3 linked regions of the Drosophila melanogaster genome follow. The protein of the gene in region 2 purifies or fractionates together with the protein of the main gene of each other region. This does not show direct contact. Each region holds a gene or a part of one and is shown on either strand. Other genes may lie near its edges.

Evidence for each region. The genes of interacting proteins can lie anywhere in the genome.
Region 1: the proteins of Arf4 (region 2) and alphaCOP purify together in Drosophila melanogaster (affinity purification with mass spectrometry, with the first as the bait; one study listed by BioGRID). This does not show direct contact.
Region 3: the proteins of Arf4 (region 2) and AP-1-2beta purify together in Drosophila melanogaster (affinity purification with mass spectrometry, with the first as the bait; one study listed by BioGRID). This does not show direct contact.

Annotation. Positions count from the first base shown.
Region 1 is NT_037436.4:1,639,676-1,648,485, forward strand, and holds alphaCOP (coat protein (coatomer) alpha), read right to left. Parts: upstream 5,525-8,810; 5' UTR 5,495-5,524; exon of another isoform or gene 5,387-5,494; 5' UTR 5,283-5,386; coding exon 4,337-5,282; intron 4,281-4,336; coding exon 1,522-4,280; 3' UTR 1,391-1,521; downstream 1-1,390. Other genes in the region: Bgb (Big brother), read left to right, coding at 320-961; CG13919 (uncharacterized protein), read left to right, coding at 5,867-6,262; CG17249 (uncharacterized protein), read right to left, coding at 6,307-7,725; Bro (brother), read left to right, coding at 8,230-8,810.
Region 2 is NC_004353.4:1,120,393-1,126,340, reverse strand, and holds Arf4 (ADP ribosylation factor 4), read right to left. Parts: upstream 2,175-5,948; 5' UTR 2,077-2,174; coding exon 2,010-2,076; intron 1,906-2,009; coding exon 1,643-1,905; intron 1,574-1,642; coding exon 1,448-1,573; intron 1,392-1,447; coding exon 1,305-1,391; 3' UTR 1,016-1,304; downstream 1-1,015. Other genes in the region: Cals (calsyntenin), read left to right, coding at 4,768-4,882, 5,540-5,682, 5,735-5,948. UniProt on the Drosophila melanogaster protein: GTP-binding protein involved in protein trafficking; may modulate vesicle budding and uncoating within the Golgi apparatus.
Region 3 is NC_004354.4:19,727,702-19,735,971, reverse strand, and holds AP-1-2beta (adaptor protein complex 1/2, beta subunit), read right to left. Parts: upstream 4,969-8,270; 5' UTR 4,883-4,968; intron 4,598-4,882; 5' UTR 4,573-4,597; coding exon 3,148-4,572; intron 3,083-3,147; coding exon 1,742-3,082; 3' UTR 1,391-1,741; downstream 1-1,390.

The DNA of each region.
Region 1 (8,810 bases), on a different chromosome or scaffold from region 2:
TTTGACTTCTCCACTATTTCCCAGTGGCAACGCCGCGTCAGTTGGTATATCAAAACCGCAAACCAACCTTTTTGTTGTATTGTGCGTTGTTTTTTTCGACGGAGGCGAGAAATTTAAACAATTAGCATTCAGAGTGCTAAGATACAAGAGCTTATTGTGTATACGCAGAAGGCTCGTCGAAGGAGCGACCAAAAGAAACCCATCCAGGGTACCGAGTTCCAGGGATTATTGTGTGCACGCAGCGGTCTGCAGAAGCACCCATAGAAACATACCCTATTCAGCGTTCCATCGAGCGGACGAATCGCGAAAACCCGTTAAAATGATGAACGAGGCGGCACTTGCCAATATGATACCCTACGACACCATCGGATTGTATGAACAGCCAAAGCCGCGCTTCATCTTCAAGATGCCTCGTGTGGTCCCGGACCAGAAGTCCAAGTTCGAGAGCGACGAACTTTTCCGGAGGCTCAGTCGGGAGAGCGAGGTTCGGTACACGGGCTATCGGGAACGAAGCATCGAGGAGCGGCAGGTGCGCTTCATGAACGGATGTCGCGAAGGACACACGGAGGCCAGCTTCGTGGCATCGGGCACCAATCTGCAGCTGGTGTTCAACGCCAACCAGAACCCGTACCTGCACGACAAGGAGTGCGACTTTGACAAGGAGCACGGCAAGGTGCACATCAAGTCCTACTTTATCATGAACGGGGTTTGTGTCCGGTTCCGTGGATGGATAGACCTGGAACGACTGGACGGAGTTGGCTGTCTGGAGTATGACGAGCGGCGCGCCATGCACGAGGACGCCATTCTGCGGGATCAGATCGATCGCTACAACCAGCGACTGCGTGAGTTCGAGGACACTAAGCGCGCCTACCGTGACAATCGACAGGACGAGATGGAGGCAGTGCGACGGGGCGTGGCCTCCGGAGGCATTGGCGTTGGCGCCAGCATGTGGCGTCGTTAGTTGGACCTGTGGACGGCTCCTGGGCCGTCCCATCCGCAGCTGCCTCCCCAGCAGCAGCAGACGCATCACCAGCAGTTAGAGACTCAATTCGCGAATACTCAATATTTCATGGACAACTGAGAATGCTCCGAACCCCTTAAGAGGGCTTTCACTTGAGAGATTTCAATACGATTACGTTAGACACGCTCGAATAATTATGCTCCTAGATTAGTGTTAGATGTAATGCTTACTTTACGTATGCTTTTATGGTATTATACTTACAACTTAGTGTGAAATTAGTGTCGTATCTTTAACTAAAATACATAATTACTAATCTATATGGCATTGTTCATTTTGGAATTTCCACCTTTAAGCAGAGTGACTAAGACTCTTCACTGGGAATTGCCTACCGAGGCTAGGTATCGATCAAGAAAACAAGTCGTTTGGTTTGATTTTATAGCATTATAATATACAGATACTGAACTTTATACATAATAAGCAAGGATCGTGTAAAACTAAACTATGGGGTCTCGCTCGGCGTGTTGGAAACATTTATATTAAAAGCGACAAGCTAGTCCGTCCTAGCGGAATTGCAGGTTTGAAATGCGCAGGCCAATGCTATCCTTGCCGATCTGGCTCACTTCGCAAACTGTGCAGAGATTGCCCTTGAACTGAGGGTCGAAAGAGGAGGAGCAGAAGGGACAGGTCACTTCGGGTTTACCCCTATACAGTGGCTTCCAGCTGATGCCGCAGATTGTGAACGGATTAAACTCCTCGTACTGCAGCTGATGCTCGTCCACGGGATTTACCTCGCAGGCCTGCAGGATCTTGCGCACCTGCTGGGCAACGTCCGGTCGTGGCGCCAGTTCCAGGAGACGACGGGCAAATGAGGCGGCCGTCTTGTAGTTCTTCAGCTTGAAGAACATATTGAGGGCGGTACGCAGGGTGAGGATTTGGTGCACGGGCTGAAGCTTGCAGTGCGTGAAGTAGGCGGCCATCTCGCACAGACGCTTTTGCTCCTCAAGCGTCGACTTGGGCATGCCCTTGCGCACAGTCTCCATCTTCAGGCCAACGATATACTCAGCGCAGATCCTTAAGAGTTGCTGGGCCTCCGCCGCATCTAGCTTCGTGTCCACTACCAGCAGTGGGATGCTAATCAAGATGGAATGGAACTTCTCTACTGCCTCGGAGAACTTTCCAGAAGTTGTCAGTTGGTACCCAGCTTGCAGGCGTGCCACCAAATCATTCAGTTTAATGCCAACCGCAGGACGCTGCAGCTTGATGTTTGTCTCGGAGTAGTTGCGAAGTGGGTAACCACTTAGGGATTGCAGATTCGGATTGGCCGTGTAGCTCGTTCGAGAGCAGGCGTAGTTCTGCAGGAAGAGTGTCTTGAATGGCTGGAAATTGACCACTCCCAGCTGATCGTGCAGTAAACGGAAGGCGGTTTCGAATGATCCGGCCTTGACATGGTCCAGGACCAGAGGCGAGTTGTTGGCCCATTGTTGGGCAGGAGACAAGCCTTTGTTGGGAGCCGCATAGTAGTTGCTGTCGAGGGCTGAGGCCTTGATCTTGGAGGCCAGTTCCTCGGGCACAACCAGGTCATCATCGCCCACATCCCAGCCGGCACCCTCCTCTCCACCCGCACCACCATCGCCATCGTTGCTCAGCGCGTCGTGCATCTCGTCATCTCCGTCTTCATCTAGTCCCAAGTCGGCATCCGCTCCCCAACCATCTCCACCACCATTATGCTCGTCCAACAGTGCAGCATCGGCGTTGATGTTCAGCGCCTGTCGGGCAGTGGCACTGGAGCCAGCCCTGGTGACCATGGCGCCTTCAAAGAAGCCCTTGGACACGGACAGCAACGGCCAATTGGTTTCAAGCTGCTGGATGGGCACTGGTGGCTGCAACAACTGGGCATTGGGATTCACCTCGGGAAGGCTGTTACCCTGCGAGGTTATCGATTCGCCCAGGGACTCAGTGAGCTCATCGAATCCATGAGTAGCGGCTGTGAGATAAGCTAACGAAAGTTGTCCGCAGTTTTTGAGGATGTTTACCCGCTCCTTGACGTCACCGAGAAGGAGGGCACCCTGGTACTGGGCGGAAACATCCTTGCGAATCTCGGCAATCTTGTTCATCTTCTTGAGCTTCTCCAAGTTGCCGGTGATCAGGTAGAGGAAGCTAAGCTTGTCAAAGTTCTTGGTCCGCTGGTAGCACATCTCTACCACCTGGTGGTTTCCTTGGAGCAGCGCACTCTGTCCCAGGCGATCCCAGCAATCCTTGTCATCGAGAGCCTTGGCTGCTTCGAGAGCAATTTCGATGTTACCGCACTCCAGAGCGAGTCCAAATCGGGTTTTCTCATCCTTGACAAAATGCAGTGCCACCTCTGGATAACCCTTTTGCTGCAGGTAAGCAATGATGCTCTGACCCACTAGGCGGGCATTTCTCACCATATGCAGTACTTCATCGTACTTGCGTTGAATCAGGGCAAGCTTAAACTTGTACTCCGTAGGATCGATGTGGAGCACACGGGTGCGGCACTCCCGGTCCAAGCAGAACACTTGGTTGCCCTTGACGCGTGTCAGATAAATGGGTAGGTCCAGCGTACGGATGATGCCGTGGTCCCCGTTTGTAATGGCGTACTTAATGTGGTTGCTAGTGGTGTAGATAAACACTCCAGACTCGTCCCAGGCGCCAGACTTCACGCGGCAGTTCTCCTGCACGGTGCACAAGTACTGAAGTCTTCGGTCGCAGATTGTAACCGAGTGCTTGCAGAGTAGAGCGACCAAGGACATGTCCGGAGACCACACCACGTAGCGGCACTTGGCCAGTTTAATGCTTCCAACGGAGACTAGGCGCTGAACTTCGTACAGTGTGACAAACTCAGGGTCCCGAATGAGCAGCATTCCCGTACCGGCATAGAAGATCTCCTCGCAGAAAGTTGGCAACTTCTTGGTCACCTCATTCTTGAAGTTCTTGATCACCAACTGCTGGTTGCGATCAAGCACTGCAAACCGATTGCGTGCCACCCAGATGGCCGTGATTCCAGAGCTTCGCTTGCTGTCCGACTCACTTTGGCTCTCGGTGTCCTTGGGGATTTGGCAAAGATCGTAGGTGCTGTTCTCCAGGTTGTTGGTGCGCGTGCAGATTAGCACGGCGTTCAGTGCTGGGTTGTACGACATGCTGTACACCGGCGACTTGCCTGGTCGAAGCTGCATAACCACAGTGTCCTTAGTGGTGGTAAAGTCCAGTTTGCGAAGGAAACGTTCCTTGACGTAGTAGAGAATATTCCCGTGGACAGCATATGCAGGACGCTCTCGCTCCAGTTTAAAGACCACCATACCTGAAAGAATATGTATCATTACAAAAAATTCCTATTCCTAAAAGAAATCAACTAACCTCCATCGTGGCCAGCTGCAAACAGATTCAGGGTCGGATGCGCTGTAAGTATCCAGAAGCGCTCGTTGTCCCGCCGGAATGTAAAGAGGCACTGGCGCTTGGTCATGTCCCAGACGCGAATACTGCGATCTTCGCCGTTGGAGAGAATCAGGTCTTGCCTGGGATGGAACAACACGCTGGACACGTTGTTGTAGTGACCGCGACAGGTGTCGACCTCCCAAGCCTTGTACTCGTTCATGCGCCACAACTTCACAAGGCGATCATCGGCACCGGAGACAATCAGCGGCAGGGTGGGATGGAAACTGGCCCAGTTGACGCCACGGTCGTGGCCCTCGAGCACGTGCTTGACCACGGCATCTGCTTGGCCAAACAGATCAGTGGCACCCGGATGACCCTTTAGGTGGTCATCAAGCCCACCGGGCCCGGGAGCCACGTTCTTCTTACGCAGCCCCGAAATGTCCCACACGCGCACCGTCTGATCGAGTGAAGCAGAAACGATCTGATCCTCCGTGGGATGGAACTGGGCGCACATCACATAGTGGTTGTGGCCCGTCAGCACGCAGATGCAGTTGCGCGACTGCCAGTTCCAGATGCGTATGGTCTGATCGTCGGAGGCGCTCAGAATCCATGGGTATTCGTGGTGGAAAGCCACCGTGCGCACATAGTCCAAATGGGCCAGGAGGGTAAAAATGCATCGGCGTTGCTTGTAGTTCCACACCTTGATCTTGTAGTCGTCGCCGCCAGAGACGAAGAGCGGCATCTGCTGGTGGAAGGCCACGCCTCGCACCGGTCCGTCGTGCTCGTCGAACTTCTCGAGGAGCGTGTGCATCCGGTAGTCCCACAGCTGGATGACGCCGCTGTGCAAGCTGACCAGGATCCAGGGGCGCTTAGGGTGGAAGGAGAGGCCCTTCACCCTCGCCGACTTCGACTCGAAGTTGGTCAGCATGGTGGCACTTTTTCTGTTCTGCCTGTAGGTGTCTCAAATTGGATGCACTTCTAGGTGTCGGCTTATCCGTCAAGCGCCCTTTTTTTGCTGGTTCGAGCACTTGCCTGTATCAAAACATCAAGAGGTGGGTGTTAGAACAAACCCATTTTATTGATACGCTACAAGTAACACGTAATATACTGCCAACAATTAATTTTATGAAAAACACCAACCAATCGTCGAAATTGTGACACGTCAATTATCTTCTTCTTCGCGACCCAGTCAGTGTTGCCAGCGTTGGCAGATGTGCATACACTGGGAACCATAAGTTTTCAAAAGTACACACATGAATATGAATGAATTATCATGCTCTCCAGTCTTCTTTATATAGTTAAATATACAGATTTTACGTGATATTTTTGAATATATTTAATCTTCGTCAATAATATTCGAAAATTGAGTTGGTAAATGTATTTCTACGAACACTTTTAGTGACCACTGTAATCGTAGTTTTACAGCACTGGACAAAGTGCATTCTATTCACGGTAACTTCGCTTTGTTTATTTTCTGTAATACCATGGAAAATATATAAATAAGTGACAAAGATGACACTGGCACACCGGGCGCTCTTCACTTGGTTTATCGTCCTGGTCTTCCTGATTCTTCTGTGTCTCCGCCTGGACCCACGCACCACCTGGAATTGGTTCGTCACCTTTACGCCACTCTGGTTCTTCGATGTGATCATTATCATCTACGTGATCATTAAATTTATCCGCAAGTGGCGGAACCTAACCTGCCTGACGGATCTCCTGTTCCTCTACAAATGGAACATTGCCGGCGTCCTGCTGACCATCGCCTCCCAAGTGATGATCTGCCTAACGCTGGAGTACCCGCAACAGATTCCCATATACGTGACCGTTGCCCCGGTCATCCTGCTGCTGAGCACCGCCATCTTCTATGTTGGCAGCAGGCTGGGAAAACGAGAGGGCTGGATACAGTAATATTAAGCATATATTGTAGGATTAGGTGTACATAAAGTGAAAACTCAAAAGCCGTATTTGCTTTGGGTGGCCCGACGGGTCTGCCGGTTGGCCGACCACATGGCCTGCAGCTCGGCTTCGTTGGCCTTCGCCTTGTGCGCCAGGTAGGTGATCTGGTGCTTGCGCCGAGTCCCTGCCACCGGCTCCTCGTCCGTCAGCACGCCGGTCGGTTGGAAGGTGGTGGACGAAGCCAGAGCCGATCGCATCCATTCCTCGCGATCAGGTAGCACCTGAGACCCAGATATGTCGATCACCTGCATCTCCTTGGCCTCCTTCCGCCGGCGCTTGGCATTTTTGCCCACCAATGCGTCCATGGCCTCTGCGTTTAACTGTTGCTCATGGTAGCGCTTTTGTGCAATCTGAGACTGCTCTTCCTGAAGTCGGGCGGCTTCTGCTTCGGCTGCTTCCTTCTCGGCTACCTCCTCTAGGTACTTGCTACTGGCTTCCACCATCTTGGCCGCTCGCTTGGCCACTAGAGCGCTAATCTCGTTGCTGCTCACCTCAGGCAGCTTTTGCTCGGAATTCAGGGAGAAAAAGTCTCCAGTGCCATCTTCGTCATCATCTTCACTATCGCTGGCATTTACCAGCGAAGTGGGTTTACTTATAGGTTTGGATTTTGTTGACTTCAAAGCGTCTTTTGTCTCAGGATTCTTCTTGTGCCCGGCCTTAGGGCCATCTACGCCTTCGGTGTTGTGTGCAGCTCGTCGCTGCTTAACTGTATCGGGAACAAAAGCTGGTGCTGCTCGAGGCTGCGCAGGATTATTGCTTAGACTGGAAGCAAGAGTAGTGCTGGCTGATGGGTAGGCTACCGCGGATGAAGAGTTCTTGGAGAAGTTGCGCTCCGACTTTGCTTGGGGCAGCAGACTCAACAATCCCGATCCCTTGGGTACATTGGGCTTATCAACTTTGTTCTTAGCCCTGTCAGCTTTCTCCTGGTCTACATCTGAGAAATCTCTTAGTGAAGGAATGCTGATTTTTACTTTTCCCTTGACTGGCGGCGGTGGAGGTTTCTCTATTTCTACGGGCAGCGCCTTTTTGTGCAGAAACTCATCGTCTTTCTCCTCTACAATGGCTTTTCCTTTCGCTGCTGTTCGTGGCATGGGCAGGTTGGCAAAGGCGGAAGTAACCTGGTTGTCCACATCCTCATTTTCCAGATCCTTAGCGGGAGCAGTGACTTTTGGTTTGGGTAAGGCTAATAGCAGTCTTCCGTTGGGCGGCTTTAACTCCTGAAGGGACACTTCCTGGGGAACGTAGTCGTCATCTTCATCACTAATGTGACCACTGGTTGATTCCCGAGCTAGATACGCTTCACTTGGTGTGCTCGGCTTGGCTTGGGGTTTTATTACTTCCACTTGTGGTACAGAATTTTCCTCTTCGTTCTCCGAATCTTCATCAGAACTGGCAGCATAAGCAACAAGCGACATGTTTATAAAATTGCTAAAGTTAAACAATACAATACACAACAGCTGTTTAATGTGCCCGGACTCTAGAGTTGTCACCTGCTTGGGCTGCCATGGTTGGCAACTCCCTTTGCTTAAGCGCTGTGCTAACCAACACTGTTAAAATTACCGCTAAAACGTAATTTCGAATTTAAACTTAAAATTATATAGTGCGTTCAATTCGTTCGTTTTATTTATGATAGCATTATACCTGCAATCCTCAAAGTATAATATTCGGAGCTGTAAAAACCCTACGGATTATAAAACAAACCTCAAATAGGATACTTATAAGTGCTATACCTGATCCTTATTGTGTCCAGATGGTTTCCATCCTTGATTACCAGGCGACAATTAGGGGATTCGTTAGGTAGCCCAATCGCTCCCGATTACCTGTTCTACAACTTTTTTTTTTTGTTTAAATAAGGCGGTCAATTTTAACATTGATCAGTACAACTATATCTTTCGGAGAATACAGTTATAACATTAGACATGCATCATCACCAGAATCTCGGAGACGCGGCCGCCATGAATGGAATGATCCCGCCATACGAAGCCATGGCTATGTACGAGCAGCCCAAGCCCAGATTCATCTTCAAGATGCCCCGCGTGGTGCCTGACCAGAGGTCCAAGTTCGATAGCGACGAGCTCTTCCGCCGATTGAGTAGGGAGAGCGAGGTTCGCTACACAGGATACCGGGAACGTGCAATGGAGGAGCGCAGGATGCGGTTTGTCAACGACTGCCGCAAGGGCTATGCGGAGATATCGATGGTAGCTTCAGGAACTAATCTGCAGCTCTACTTCAACGCCAACCACAATCCGTACGCCCAGGAGCAGGATTGCGATTTCGAGCGGGAGCGGGGCAAAGTTCATTTGCGTTCTAGTTTCATCATGAACGGGGTGTGCGTCCGCTTCCGGGGCTGGGTGGATCTGGACCGACTGGATGGCGCTGCCTGCCTGGAGTTCGATGAACAACGAGCCCAGCAGGAGGATGCTCAGCTGCAGGAGCAGATTCAAAGCTACAACCAGCGCATGGCTGAGTCCAGGAGAATCTACCACACGCCCCAGACTCC
Region 2 (5,948 bases):
CAGAAGAAGCAGCGTTTCCGATCCAGCCGAGTCGATCTGGCCATAGATATTAGAGTCTTTAATCTTATATATCTTACGAACTAAAGCATACAGATTCTAGACGACATAGACAATTTTTTTGACCCATGTTACCACGCCAATTTCAACACAAACAAGCTGTAGAAGAAGCGTTTCCGAACATCCAGCCGAGTCGATCTGGCCAAAGCTATTAGTGTCTTTGATCCGGCCATGGATATCTAGACACCTCACGAACTATAAAAGCTAGAAGATTAAGATTAAGCATACAGATTCTAGAGACATAGACGCAGCGCAAGTTTGTTGGCCGATGTTGCCAAGCCAATTTTGACGCAAACAAACTGGCCAAAACTGTCCACACTTTTGAAATATGTTTTGATATTTTTATTAGTCTTGTAAATTTCTATCGATTTGCCAAAAAAAATTTTGGCCACTCGCACTCTAACGCAATAAAACCACCCAAAACGGCCTCGACCACATTTTTAAAAAACTTTCGATATTTTTTCATAGTTTTATATTTTGTCGAATTCTTTCTCGAATTCCACGAGAATCAGATACCATTTACTCAGCAGGAAGTGTGAAAGATTTCAATAAGAATAACCAATTTTTTAAGAATGTTCGGCATGTTTGAGCGATTTTGGGTGGGGGGTTTTGGGGATTTTGGGTTACAAGACTAATAAAAATATTTTAAAATATCAAAAGTTTTCTCTCCGTAAATACCTCTGGAAGCTGCATGTCTAATCTCAATTCTCTACCTTTAATAGTTCTCTTCATACGGACATAGAATCTGCATGTCTAATCTCAATTCCCTACCTTTAATAGTTCCTGAGACCGAGGCGTTCATACGGACATGCCCAGATCAACTCGGATATTGGTCCTGATCAGGAATATATATTCTTTCTAAGGTCGGAAACGCTTCTGCTAACAGTTACGTAGTTTTCAACAAATCTGGTGGCTATTAAAAACTGAATTAACATAAATGAGTACGAATCAAAAATATGTTTATTTGATTGAATTCTGGTAATGGTATTGAGGCATACTAATAAAAAAACGAACATATATTTTCCCGAATAAGTAAGTTAAAAATATATTTTTATTAGTTATCCGATCACTAATTTTTAAAAATACAACTAAGGCAAGTGCAGTTTTCTCACCAACACATAAAACGTGGACATTTTAAATTTACAACAAAGTTCCAAACGAGTTTATATACATTTACAAGTTTATTTAAAATCTAGTTTTCAGCATACGAGAACAGCAATTCCTATCTTACAATATAAGGAATATTTTTATTTTTTAGCCAATTCAGCTGATAGCCAATCAAGTCCTTCATAAAGACCGTGCCCTTGGGTAGCACATGTAGACTGAATAAACCACTAAAAATGGGTAGATATAAGTAAACATTTTTGGGACAATTACCCCTAAGACATACGTGGCGATTCCTTAATTGGTTAAGGCGCAACTTGTCCGTAAGCTCGGCAGCTGTCATTGCATTCGGTAGGTCCTGTTTGTTGGCAAAAACCAAAAGTACCGCGTCCCTAAGTTCATCCTCCTGGAGCTGTGGGAAAAATAAACATGGAATTGGTTGACACGTATGTATATACTTTTAATTAAATAAAATGAGTACCATGTTCTGTAGTTCTCTTTCAGCTTCAGTTATACGATCGCGGTCGTTGGAATCCACTACAAATATAAGACCCTGTGTATTTTGGAAATAGTGTCGCCACAACGGGCGAATTTTGTCTTGGCCACCAACATCCCAAACGGTAAAACATATATTCTTATATTCCACAGTCTCGACATTGAAGCCTATGGTTGGTATGGTGGTTACAATTTCACCCAGCTTTAATTTGTACAGAATAGTCGTTTTTCCAGCAGCATCCAAGCCAACTGCGTACAAAAATATTTAAAATTATGTGCACGTTGATTGCAAGTACTTAAAAATTATGCGCGAACTAAAGGCTTATATTTAGTGTATCGTATTTTGAACATACCCATAAGAATACGCATTTGTTTTTTTCCAAACAAACGTGTCAAAAGACTAGATATTGTTAGTCCCATGTTTAATAAGAAACTATTTTATTTCGTATAGGAAAAAGCTTGTCTTCAGTAACTTCAGTAAATTGACGTGTAAACTAGTCATTCGATTAATAATGCTGTACTTTTCAGAAAAGTTAAACGATGGTTAAAAATACTGTTTTCTATAAAATACTAATAACAGTATGTTGACTATACCCTAAGCATGGTCTGATGAAAACAATAAAAAGAAACACAAAACTACATCGATAATACAATGTTTTGACTGCGCCATTAAGTCGAATGTCGATAAAACCATTTTCGTGTACATTTTTTAAGTGAAATATTTAAATTGACCTAGAAAGGCTGCCCCCAAGGGGTTAGTGAGCATATAACTTAGACTCGGAGTTACACAATTTTTAAAAATCACAACTGTTTTTTACGAATGTGCTCTGTAGGACTATGGTATTATTCGCGAATTCTAATTGCCAAAACAACTTTTTCAAATCAAATTTAAAAATCAAATTTAAAAACGATGTTACAAATTTTTCAAACACTATAAAGCTGCCTGAAAACAAAAAACTTAGGTTCTTCCTCTCTATTAACCAAAAATTAAGACATTTTTATTAATCAAAGGTCTGCTATTGCCAATATGTCGATATCAGGCCAAGATAAATGACAATCACTATATTTTGGTTGCGATTTGCAATAGTTAACAACATAAATATTCTGCCTCTGATCAAAAATAAAAAAAAAATGTTGAGTCTTGGGATATCAAGGAATCAAAATATCTATATATGAAAATATCCTACCCAAAAATTCCAGTCATTTGTAAATCAAAACAGCGTAAGCACCCCTTAACTTTCCTTTTAAACAAACCATGGTATCACTTAAAATTCGATTAAAATGTTAGAGCATAGTCTCCACAGGGCCTTATATGTTGTTTTTTTTAATCACTTTTCAAGTATTAACCACTTCCACACAAGGATCTGAAAATGTCGGATAAACGTTTCCAGTGTATTGACTTCTGTATTTAAACTTACAACTAGTTTTTCAAACGTCACAAGTAATTATTTTGCTGACAAAAGTAAGAAACTATGTAATGAAACAAAAAAAATTATTTTCTGAGATTTTGTTAATGTGCCCCGTCTAATTAACTTGTACTATTTCATATTTGAGTCGATTTAAATCTATGCATATGTAAAAGTTATAATCAAAGTATTTAGGTTACGCATGATTCCCTTCGGATAGGTTCGCTATTCGTTCAGTTAGGCAATCCAAGTTCATTACAGAATGTGTATCTCTTGGATACAACACATACACAAGATTTTCTCATCCATGCATATTCATATATACTAATGTAATACATATATGTAATCCAACAATCAGTTTCACTGTGGTACATTTTATAATGTTTAATCATATATAGTCACGGGAACTAGAGTTTATACACGGTCCTCGAATAAAATGTGTTTTGGAGCTGTAAGCTAATCAACAAAAAATGAGACTAACTAAAAAAAAGTGCTACTAAAATTCCCAGACTTTCCACTTTCTGTCCTACATATATATAATTAAAGAAAATCCGAACCAATTTGAATAACTTATCTATTTTATTCTAACACCAACAACAACTTTAAAAAGTTTTTGATTTAACGTAAAAAATTGGCCGTAATTCTTGTTGCTTTGGTTACATTCTTTCTATTGTATTGTACCAACGAAAAAAGTAGAGAAGCACCGAGACGGTAGTGGAATTATTCCGGAACACTTTCGATACTCTTTTTCGAGTGGAAGTGGTTTCATGAGGAGGAAATTTGGTGTTCCTTTTTGCCGGGCTCTTTCATACTTCCCGTGCTGTAGGAACTCCGTGAAAAGCTTCTGTAAGCATTCCCTAAATGTCTTCTGGATATATTCCGAGACTATATTACAATACTTTCGTAAACATTACTCAGGATTGTTTTCTAGATACTTTCCAGAATAAATTATCAGGAAAATTTATATTGAGTGCTTTGAAAGAAGAAGTGTTTCCAAAGTATAAAACAAAATCTCGGCTTAACCAATATTTAATTTTTTATTATTATGAACTGAACTCTGTAATACTTCTTTTCCTTGAACGTTTCTTTTTCTCTCAAAATTCATTCATTGTTTATCCTTTCATAAGAGCCCTTGAAGCGCAAGACTGTGTAATCTTAAAAAAATGTTCAGAAATAAATATAATTTTATGTGTCTGCAAAAAATTTATTAAGCAACAAAAAAATTTGTCGAATTTCGTTTTCGCGTTTTCAACATATTGTATAAAAACTGCGAAAGGGTGTAGGGCCTACACACGACAAAACTTTGTCTTATTTTACCACGTATTAGAAAGAAAAACTACTCTAAAGTCGAATGTGTCATCACAGAGTATAAAATTGCAATGTATTATATTATTATTATTTTTATCTTAAAGAACGGAAAATAAACATCTACTAGGTACATGATTTTTAAAGATTTATTGATACGAGTTTTGGGAAAATATAAAATATAATCTTCAATATATACACATATGTACAATATATTTATGTAAGTTCATGTAGTTTTAATGCTTTTAAAAATAATAGAAAGGAAGAACACTAATTTAAGAAACAAAACAATTGTGGTATTTTTGCTTAAATCGGTGTTTGCATTTCAATATGAAAATCATTTTCTTTCAGCAAAATAAATATATTTGGGCTTGATTATTAAAGAACTTCGAATAGAGCCATGACGTTTCACAAAACCTTTGGTTACGGATGCATTGTATTAATATGTTTTGAACTCCTGTTTGCTGGAGTTGAAACGTCCAGCGAAAATGATGATGAATATTTAACACAGAAAGGTATTGTATATCCCTTTACTTTACTGAAATTACACCTCAGAATCGAAATATTTATACATCTTACTCGTAGAGTAAAAGGCTATACTAGATTCGTGTAAATGTATGTGCCAATCAGAAAAAAGGGTTTCCGACTATATAATGTATATACATATATTCTTGATTAGGATCAATAGCCGAGTCGAACTGGCCCTGTCTGTCTGACCGTCCGTATGAACGTCGAGATCTCAGAAAGTATAAAAGCTAGAAGGTTGAGGTTCAGCATATAGATTCTAGAGACAAAGACGCAGCGCAAGTTTGTTGACCCATGTTGCTAAGCCCACTCCGACTTCCGCGTAAAACTGTCGCGCCCTCACTTTTGATAAATGTGTTAATATTTTTAAAAAGTTTTATTGCCCAAAAACTTTGCCACGCTCATTCTAACGCCCTAAAACCGCCCAAAACCGCCACGCCCATTTTTGAACAATTTTGAATTTTCTCATTTTATTCCCCACTATCTATCGATATCCCAGAAAAATGATGATATTTCGCCTTCGCATTCACACGGGTATCTGATAGTCGGGAAAATCGACTATAGCATTCTCTCTTGTTTATTTTGTAACATCCTTGGTTTAGAACTTTAAAATAAGAGCTGTATTAAAATTACTTGTTGTATTTCAGAAATCATATTAGAAAAGTCATATCACGGTTTAATTCGAGAAAATGAAACACTTGTAGAAATAACTCCCCTTATTAAAGTGAACGAAGAGAAAATTTGTAACTTCCATATTCTCAAAAAACCGTATCACGAAATTCCATTTAAGGTAAGTTTTAACTACTTTTTAGTAATGTAATAACTTGCACTTCATATTTTAGATTGAACTGGTAAATAACCTAGGTATTTTAAAAGCACGTCGGACACTAAATTGCGAGAATCGTAAAAGTTATCACTTTGAAATCTGTGCAATCTATTGTGATGGAACACCTTCAAATACAGCCAATGTTCATATTACTGTTATCGACGTAAATGAGTATGCTCCAACATTCTTAGAACCGTCTTACGTAATTGAAGTAGACGAGGGAAGACTTT
Region 3 (8,270 bases), on a different chromosome or scaffold from region 2:
TGGCGGACCCTTCTCAACGGAATCTGCGATCTGGTGTACTCGATGCTCTTGGTCTTGTCCTTGTTGTTCTGGTTCTTGTTCTTCTACACAGCACTGGCGGATTGTCCTCTTCGTGGCGTTGTTTCGTGTTGGTTGCTCTTCACTGGCACAAAAGGACTCCGCATTCCTGCACCGTTCGCAGGGGCATGGTTGGTTACACCTATGCCTGTACACCTATACTACCACCTGGCTGGATTGACTGCGAAATAGGGCGTAGCACCTGGATGTCCTTTTGCAGCGAGTGTCAAGCGATCCTGCGGCCAATTTACTGCGGGTACATTGCAGTATTTGCACACATTTTCGCACTGCGACGTGCGATACGGATTCGTTACAATCGGGGCCAAGCCAGAATAGCTTGTGGTACAACAGGAAAACAGTGGAGCAGGCAAACAGTCAGTGTGTCCTGTGGCCACGACAGGGATGGCTACACGTCCACGTCCTCGATGGGCAAGCCTGTCCTCTCTTGCGCTCTCGTTGGTCGCACAGGCATCCAAACAACCCCCGAAGGGTTCGCGCGAAAGCTTCGAAAGCTCAGGCGCCGAAGCTCGACGCCACCACCCATCCTTCGCATCCCTGACCAGGTATACCACATTCCGCTTATACCCTTAACTGGTCCACTGCTGTCTTGATGAGCCCATTACAACCATTGCTAAGTGGGTGCCTCAGTTAGTACCAATTGCTGCAATCTTTCCACTGACCAGCATGATCAGTTGGGAATCCATTATATATATATATATATGTATATCCTTTGCATACAACATGGTTATCCCTGTAAACATGGAAGCAAAGCTTTGGGATATGGTTTGACTCCTCGGTAGCTTCGATAGCTTTGGGTGTCTGTACAAATCGCTACAGAATGCTCCACTTACATACGTGGGCCAATGTGGGCGTGGCCATAGTTTGACGCAAAGTTGATCTGCGCGGGAAAAGCGCTTTGCAACTCCTATCTGATGGATTCTATATTTGCAGCAGGAAAACCTCTTTCTCCTTAACGAATTTTCAAGTAAATATGATATTTCAAATCTAACTTTTGAGTTTCAAGCCTAGTTTTGGATTTTAATGATCCTAAATATTGATCAATATATTGACTTTTAACCTAACTGATGCAATTATTTTCTCAGATCTTCGACTTAGAAAACTTACTTTGATGCACTTTGACTTTGAGCTGAAAGTATAAAAATCTTTCAGGCTTACGAACGGACAAATATTATAATACACAGTTTTAATTATAATACTAAAATCATAAATCATAATCATGCGTATTTGGAACCTTGTAGAAATGACCATTGAAAGCGAATAGAAACTGTGCTTAGTGCAACTGCCGTCGAGGAAAACAATGTCACAATTATTTAGTGTTTCGCATTTTACTAGGACACAAACATATACATAGATGCCGACCATAGGACATATGGGGTTACAGAGTTTTGGAATGCGGTTATGCAACGTTGCTATTACACGTTAGTACACTGAGTGACAAGCAGCTCCGATTAACAATTAACAGATCTCTCGACGAACCCGATTGGATTTTATATGTGTGCATATGCATAAATAATATATGTAGGTGGCGATTCGGCCAATACACAATATAATAATAATACGTAAATTTACAACTTATTGTTGAGCTAATCTTCAACACACGCAAATCGATAGCTCCAATTGCTTTGTGCTTATCCTATGCCATCGGATGTGCGCCATGGAACGCTTATGGAGAACGGATGATGGCCTCGTAGGCGGCGAAGATTATGTTGGCCACCTCCACGGAGCGCGATTTGAGGCTGAGAGTGGCTTCCGGATTGCCCGGCTGCAGCTTTAGCTCCAGCAGCACCCAAATGTTGTTGGTCAGCTTGAGTGACTGGTAGAGCATGTCCTGGCCCTCGACGTTACGCTTGGCGATGGTGAAGATGTTGTTGGTGGTCATCTTGGAGGCGATGCCGTCGGTAGTGCCAATTACACCGCTCAGGGTGTACTGCAGTTCGTTGGCGGCGGGGATCTCCTTCCAGGTGTTGAGGAACACGCGCTTGTCCAACTGCCCATCCTCGGCGAACAGCACGTTGCCGTGCACCAGGCACGCGAAGTAGAAGATGTCGATGTTGTTCTTCACGGCCACCTGCAAGTTGTTGAGCGGCTCCATGCGCTGAATGGGTCCGTTGGTGCCCAAGGCCATGCTGACCTCGATCGATTGGTTGGGTGGAAGGGGAGCAGCCTGCATGGGCGACGCGGGCACCAGGCCGAAGCTGTTCTTGTTCAGTTGGATGGCGAAGTTAGTCATCGGCTGCATGGCTTTGTTGGTCAGAGTCATGTCCATGAACACCTCGCCGTTGCGGCGTGAGAACGTTCCTTGTATTTCGAGTCCCTTGCCCTTCTCCGCTGGCAGCCATGTGACCTTGGGAATCTGAACACCCACCGATAGCGTTGCTCCGCCCAGTCCAAAAATGTCGCCTAGCAGGCTGGTGGCACCGCCGGGAGCCGCCTCTGCTGGCGGTCCACCGAGGAGTATATCAAGACCGCCGCCCAGAAGGTCCACATTGCTGGTGGCGGCCGGAGCAGATGGCATGGCGGGTGCGTTGATATCCATGGAGAGCAGATCTCCAATGAGCGACTCCTGGTTGGGAATGACCATTGCCTCTGAGCCGGCTGCGTTTTCTGCTTGCTCTGCACCAGCTGCAGATCCAGCGGCTCGGTTGGGCAGCGACTTGCGCACACCGGCTCCGCGACCCTCCACGAACGCGGTGGGAGGCTTATGATAAACGCTGGCCAGCGAGCTAATGTGGCAGATGAGCTCGTCCAGCAATGTCGGCTCCAAAAGGTCGGTCTCCTCTGAGATGAGTGGCTTATCGGCCAGCACCACCTCCTTGGCGGCGGCCGGGTCCGTGGACAGGAGACGCCAGTAGATGAAGCCACGGTCACGCAGATCGGGGTTGTCCGAATCCTGGGTAGCCAATGATAGTACGTGCTGCACCAGCTCCTGGGTGTCCGACGGGCGCTTGAGGAACAACTTAACCACGGCCGTCAGCAGCTGCAACTGCACCTGTGCATTTTCATCCTGGCGAAAGAGAAAATAGCAATTCAAAGTCCTGATAATGTTGGCAAATCCAGAGAAAAACTTACCTGGAATCCTTCAAGGAAGCTGTCAAGCAGCTCGTCCGCGTTGTCAATGCGCTCTGCGTACTCGCCAATGATCCAAACCATTGATGCGCGTGCCTCCGGCTCGTCCAGAGTGTCCAGATTCTCGCACAGCGTGCTGATAATGCTCTCGTACTTGTTGGGGTACTTGCGGAAGATGTCCTTGATGACCACAATGGCCTCCTGCACCACGTAGTTGACCTTGGTCTGGATAAGATCAAGCAGCGTGGACACGCAGCGTTCGGCTGAGGGCTCCACCTTAATGGCGCATCGCCCGATGGCGCGGACTGCCTTGCGCACAAAATCCACGTCCACCTCGGTGGCGTACTCCTTCAGCTCGCTAAGCACCTGGGCGATGTTGCTCTGGTTGGCCAGGCGGATCATAATGTCTAGCTTCTCCAGTTTCACGTAAATGGGATCGTTGTATTTCACGAAGAACACCTTCATTTCGTGCTTGAGAATGTCTGGCCGCTTCTGGACAATCAGATTGATGTTGCGCAGGGCCACATACTGCACCTCCGGCTCTGAGGAGAGCAACGTAACCAATGGCGGAGCCAGCTTCTTGGTGAGCGTGGCGCAAAAGTCGCTGTCGCTGGACAGCATCTCGAGCAACTTCATCAGCACCTTGACGGCGCTCAAAACGACGGCGGCGTTGGCGTGAGCCAGACGCGGAGTGATTCGCTCGCAGATGGACTGCGCCTCGCGCTCATCCTTCGGGCTGTAGTTGGCCAGCGAGTCCAGGATAAAGACCTGGCCCCACTCGGTGCACTCGTTGAGCGCCGTCAGCAGCTTGTTAATGGTGACCGAGTTCATCTCCACGAGGGGCTGGCCGGACTGACTTGCCTCGTTAATCTCGCTAAGAGCGGCCACCGCATTGGCCACCACCATGGGATTCGAGTCAGATAGCAGATCCTTCAGTTGGTCCAGAAAGCCTTGGTCCTCCACCATTGTGGCTGAAATGTCGTACAGCTTGGCCACGCACACTGCGGCCGTCTTGCGCACATACGGATCCTCGTCCTTCAGGCACTTGCGCAGCGGCTCGCACAGGTACTCGGTGATCTTGTCCACCCGAATGCAGCCCATGGTGCGCACGGCCAGCGCCCGGATAAGCGGATTGGAGTCCTCGCAGTCCTTCACGAACGTATTAACCGCCATGATGGCCATGTCCGGCTGCGATTTGGCGTAGTTCATCAGATAAAGGTAGACCAGCTTCTTCAGCTCCAGGTTGTCCGTCTGCATGCAGTTGACCACGTCCGGGAAGAGGGCGGACACGTCTTTGCCCACGGTCATGCTGGCGATCACCTTCTTCACCGCCTCCTTCTTCTTCTCCTTCTTGTCGTTATTCAGCTCCGACTTGAGCTCGAAGATCTCGCCCTTCTTGGTGGTGGTGAAGTACTTGGAATCAGTCATCGTGGCTGCTGCTCCTAGCTGCGTACTGAAATTGGAATCGAGATTGAGTTTAGAGAGGGGAACGTGGAGTTTCCGGCACAAGAAGTGCGATTATTGATTGCAATCCCCCCTCACAACACCACACCACATCTTGGGGGCGGAATCATCCGAATACCAACACATTCGCCCCTATCGCAGCTTGAACACGTCTCAAAAGGGGCCCGATTTTCGGGATGACTCAGAACTGGCCAGGGGAAAAAGAAGCCCTCAGTTGGACTGCGCCTATGCCCACTTGGGGAGACTTCTGCCAACGCAGCTTGCTTTTAATTACCTTTCAAATAGTTGATTTTCGGGCACAAAGATTTGTTAGCTTTTCTCTTCTATCTGCAATTAGTGCGACCGTTTACAGGGGAGTGACTTGTCGAAGCGCTGGTATTTTTTCTGTTTAGTATTTTGATAAATCGATTAGTTTTTGCGATTTTATCGCAAACTGATGTTTTGTGTTATTATCGAAACATTTTTAAATAAGTGGGTGCATTAAATTCCTTTTTTTTGGAAATTGGTGTTGATCAAGGTCAACATATCCTACTCGTAAAAGAGCTCAGATTAGGAAAATCATGCAGAAGATTTTTCCAGATATAAAATAAAGGACAGCCAATGAAGTAAACTGAAATCTCAATGAAAAACGAAGTCGACGCTCTCACCAGAGAGCAATATAGCGAATTAGAGTGAGATGGCTATATTACATCTGAAAAGTAACGGATCGTAAAAGCAACAGGCTAACTTTGTTATTTATAATAATGTTATACAAAATTTAATTTTCAATTGTATTTACAAATTATTTATGTTAAAAAGTTCAATATCTTCACCTAAAATTGATGTCAATATCCTTTTTCAATATTAAATTAGAATGAAAGACGGCAGTAACATGAAATAGAATATTTATTTCAATAAAATGCGCTCCTTTAAGTCTGAAAGGAAAGTACATTATGTACGAATGTTTTAATAGAAATTTTTAATTGTTCGATGCCTTATCAAAAACCGAGACTTCCGTGATCCCCCATTGAAATAAACATAATTGAATATCCTAACAATTTTATTTTTTAATATTCTCAAGAAATATCATTTAATAAGTTATTAACACATAAAACAAATCAAGAGTAGTATTGAATTAAAAAATGTTTTGTTTTCTTATATTTTAACATCATTTTCATTTCATTTGCTTTTTATCGATCCATTGAAATATATATATACATATATATATATATATATATATATCATCATTTTCACATGGGGATTTTCCCATATAAATTGTATATTAATAGTTGCATATTAACTTCATTCGCTCACGACTTTCTCATCACTTGTATCCTCTTTTCTTCTCCTCACTTTCATCTATTTTTTTTTTTTTTTTAATAAATAAGTTCGGAATAACTTTAAAAATTTTGATGTTTCATTAGTAAAAGTTGTAAAGTTCGCTATTACACCTTAATTATATACACGTTTAAATAAATCATATTCCAGTAATTCAGTCTTATGAAATAAACAAAAACTTAGGTCCGGTATATTCAGCTGGAAAATCAATCAATAAGAAAACAATCGTCCAAAGCCATTTCGAATCAATAAAACAATGAAATGCGGATTATTCCGATTTCGTTTTTTTTTTTTTCATAATCAGGCTTGGCTCCTAAGTGAACGGTCTTCTTCGTCCTTATCTTCGTTTTTATTGCTGCTCTTATTGTTGTCCGGTTCTTTTTGTTGTGTGCGTGTCTATGCGTGTTTGTGGATGCGATTAGGTTTGTTCGTCCTCTGCCTATCCAGTTTTTCTGATTCTGAGTGAGCATAGACCTTGGAGTGGATTTTATCCTCCGTTCGAGGGATTAAAAAAGTACGGAAACAATATGTGGTAGTGAAATGCATACTTTTGTTAACGGAAGCTTCTGGTTTTCCCTTTACACTTATCAATATATATATTGCACGTTATGTTGACTTGGTTGTTATTCGCTTTAAATTGGAACTGTAGAAAATCTATTAAAACTATCATATTCCCATAACATTTATCTTAATTTGGTGGTATCGAAAGAAACGAAAGGTGGAAGAGCGAGCAGCTTCAGCCCGCAGTTACTGGATTGCCTGTACTGTAACATTTGTCATTTGTTATTGGTATTGCCTATTTATGTGGGTGACCGTACATATAGTACGGATAGTACGGATTGTAACTCTTCGGAGCGCACACTCAGCGGATAATTGAGAGCCCTTTTCGCCGATGAGCACTGTAGTCCGCATAAGGAAATGAGCAAAGTTTGACCCAACTTGGTAACTAACGAAAGCAAAACATGGAACGGGACTTTAGCAATTGGTTATCGGCGATCGGTGATCGGGTATCGAAACTATCCGATGAATGTGGGCTCGCTGAGCTCCGTTACGTTTTGTATATCAACTTTAAGCTGTGTGGTAGGATATGTTATTCATTAGTTGTTACATTTGTATCTGAGTTTCGTTTCCCTTAGTTGCATTTTTCTAGTGTCTTGTTCATAAAAATATACACCTTTGGTAGTATGTACGTATAAGTTGTGTATGTACAAATCGTGTTCGGTTCTGATGTTTTGAAGCGAGTAGAGGGAGTCCTGGTGAACAAAGGCATAGATAAATATTACGTGGTGCAGGACCGTTGGGTGGCACTATATCTTAAGTAGTTGGTCCGGAAAGCTCCTCTTCGAAAACCCTAATATTGAGTGAGTGGAACATGGAACTCGTTTAGTTTCGGTCTACTGGTTCAAGAAGTGCATGGTGCATTGATTTGGCACTCGAAATTTAACAGATTCAACGGAAATGAATGGACTCGAACGAAATACATACATACATAGGTTGAAATCAAGAATCGAATGTCTTAGACGGTACGTTTGTTTTGTATATAAATAGTGTTCTTCTCTGTTGCGGGGCTAGATCGAAAGATCGAGGGCTAGCCCTAGGTTATTGAGTTTTTGTTGCAATCTTTGATATTCGCTATTCGGATTCTTTCCTGTACAAAGTCGTGAAGTACAAAAGGAATAAATTATCATAAGTATTATTATTATTATTAAAAAGGTTGATTTTGCTTTAACTTGCCATACTTGTAATTTAGCTAAAAATAGTTATGCATGGTTTGCTTGTACATAGTATATAAAGTGGAAAAAAGTATGCTTGTACTTGTACATAAATGTTTTCATTATCATATTTGCTTTTGGTTTAAATATCATTGTGTTTATACATATTTGTAGTTATGCTTGCTTTGGTTTTATCCTTGGTTTAAGTTTGAATAGTTCAATAAATATTTGGTATTCTTTGGTATTCGTCTATATGGTAATTTTTATAAATATATATGCATATTTGTATAATTTTTGCTTCGTATTCCATTAGTAAAATAAATTGTATTACAACGAATGCGAAATGCCGCTTTAAAAATGAGTTTTAGTTTAGCGCGAGCTCTAGAATAAAAAACAAATAACATTTCGAAAGAGTGTGTAAGACGGGACGGCCGTAGGCAGAGCGTACTGTACTGTAAAACCTCGCGTCCAGGCGCCGTATAAAATGCATAGCATAAATATGTAAACAACAATATCGAATCATAGGTGCATAAGGTTAGTGTTCAAGATCGTCAGGTGTCTCGTAATATCGTCAATTTGTCTATCGTCTGTCTGTCTGTGTGGCTGAGCAAATCCCGACATTGTGCAAGGATC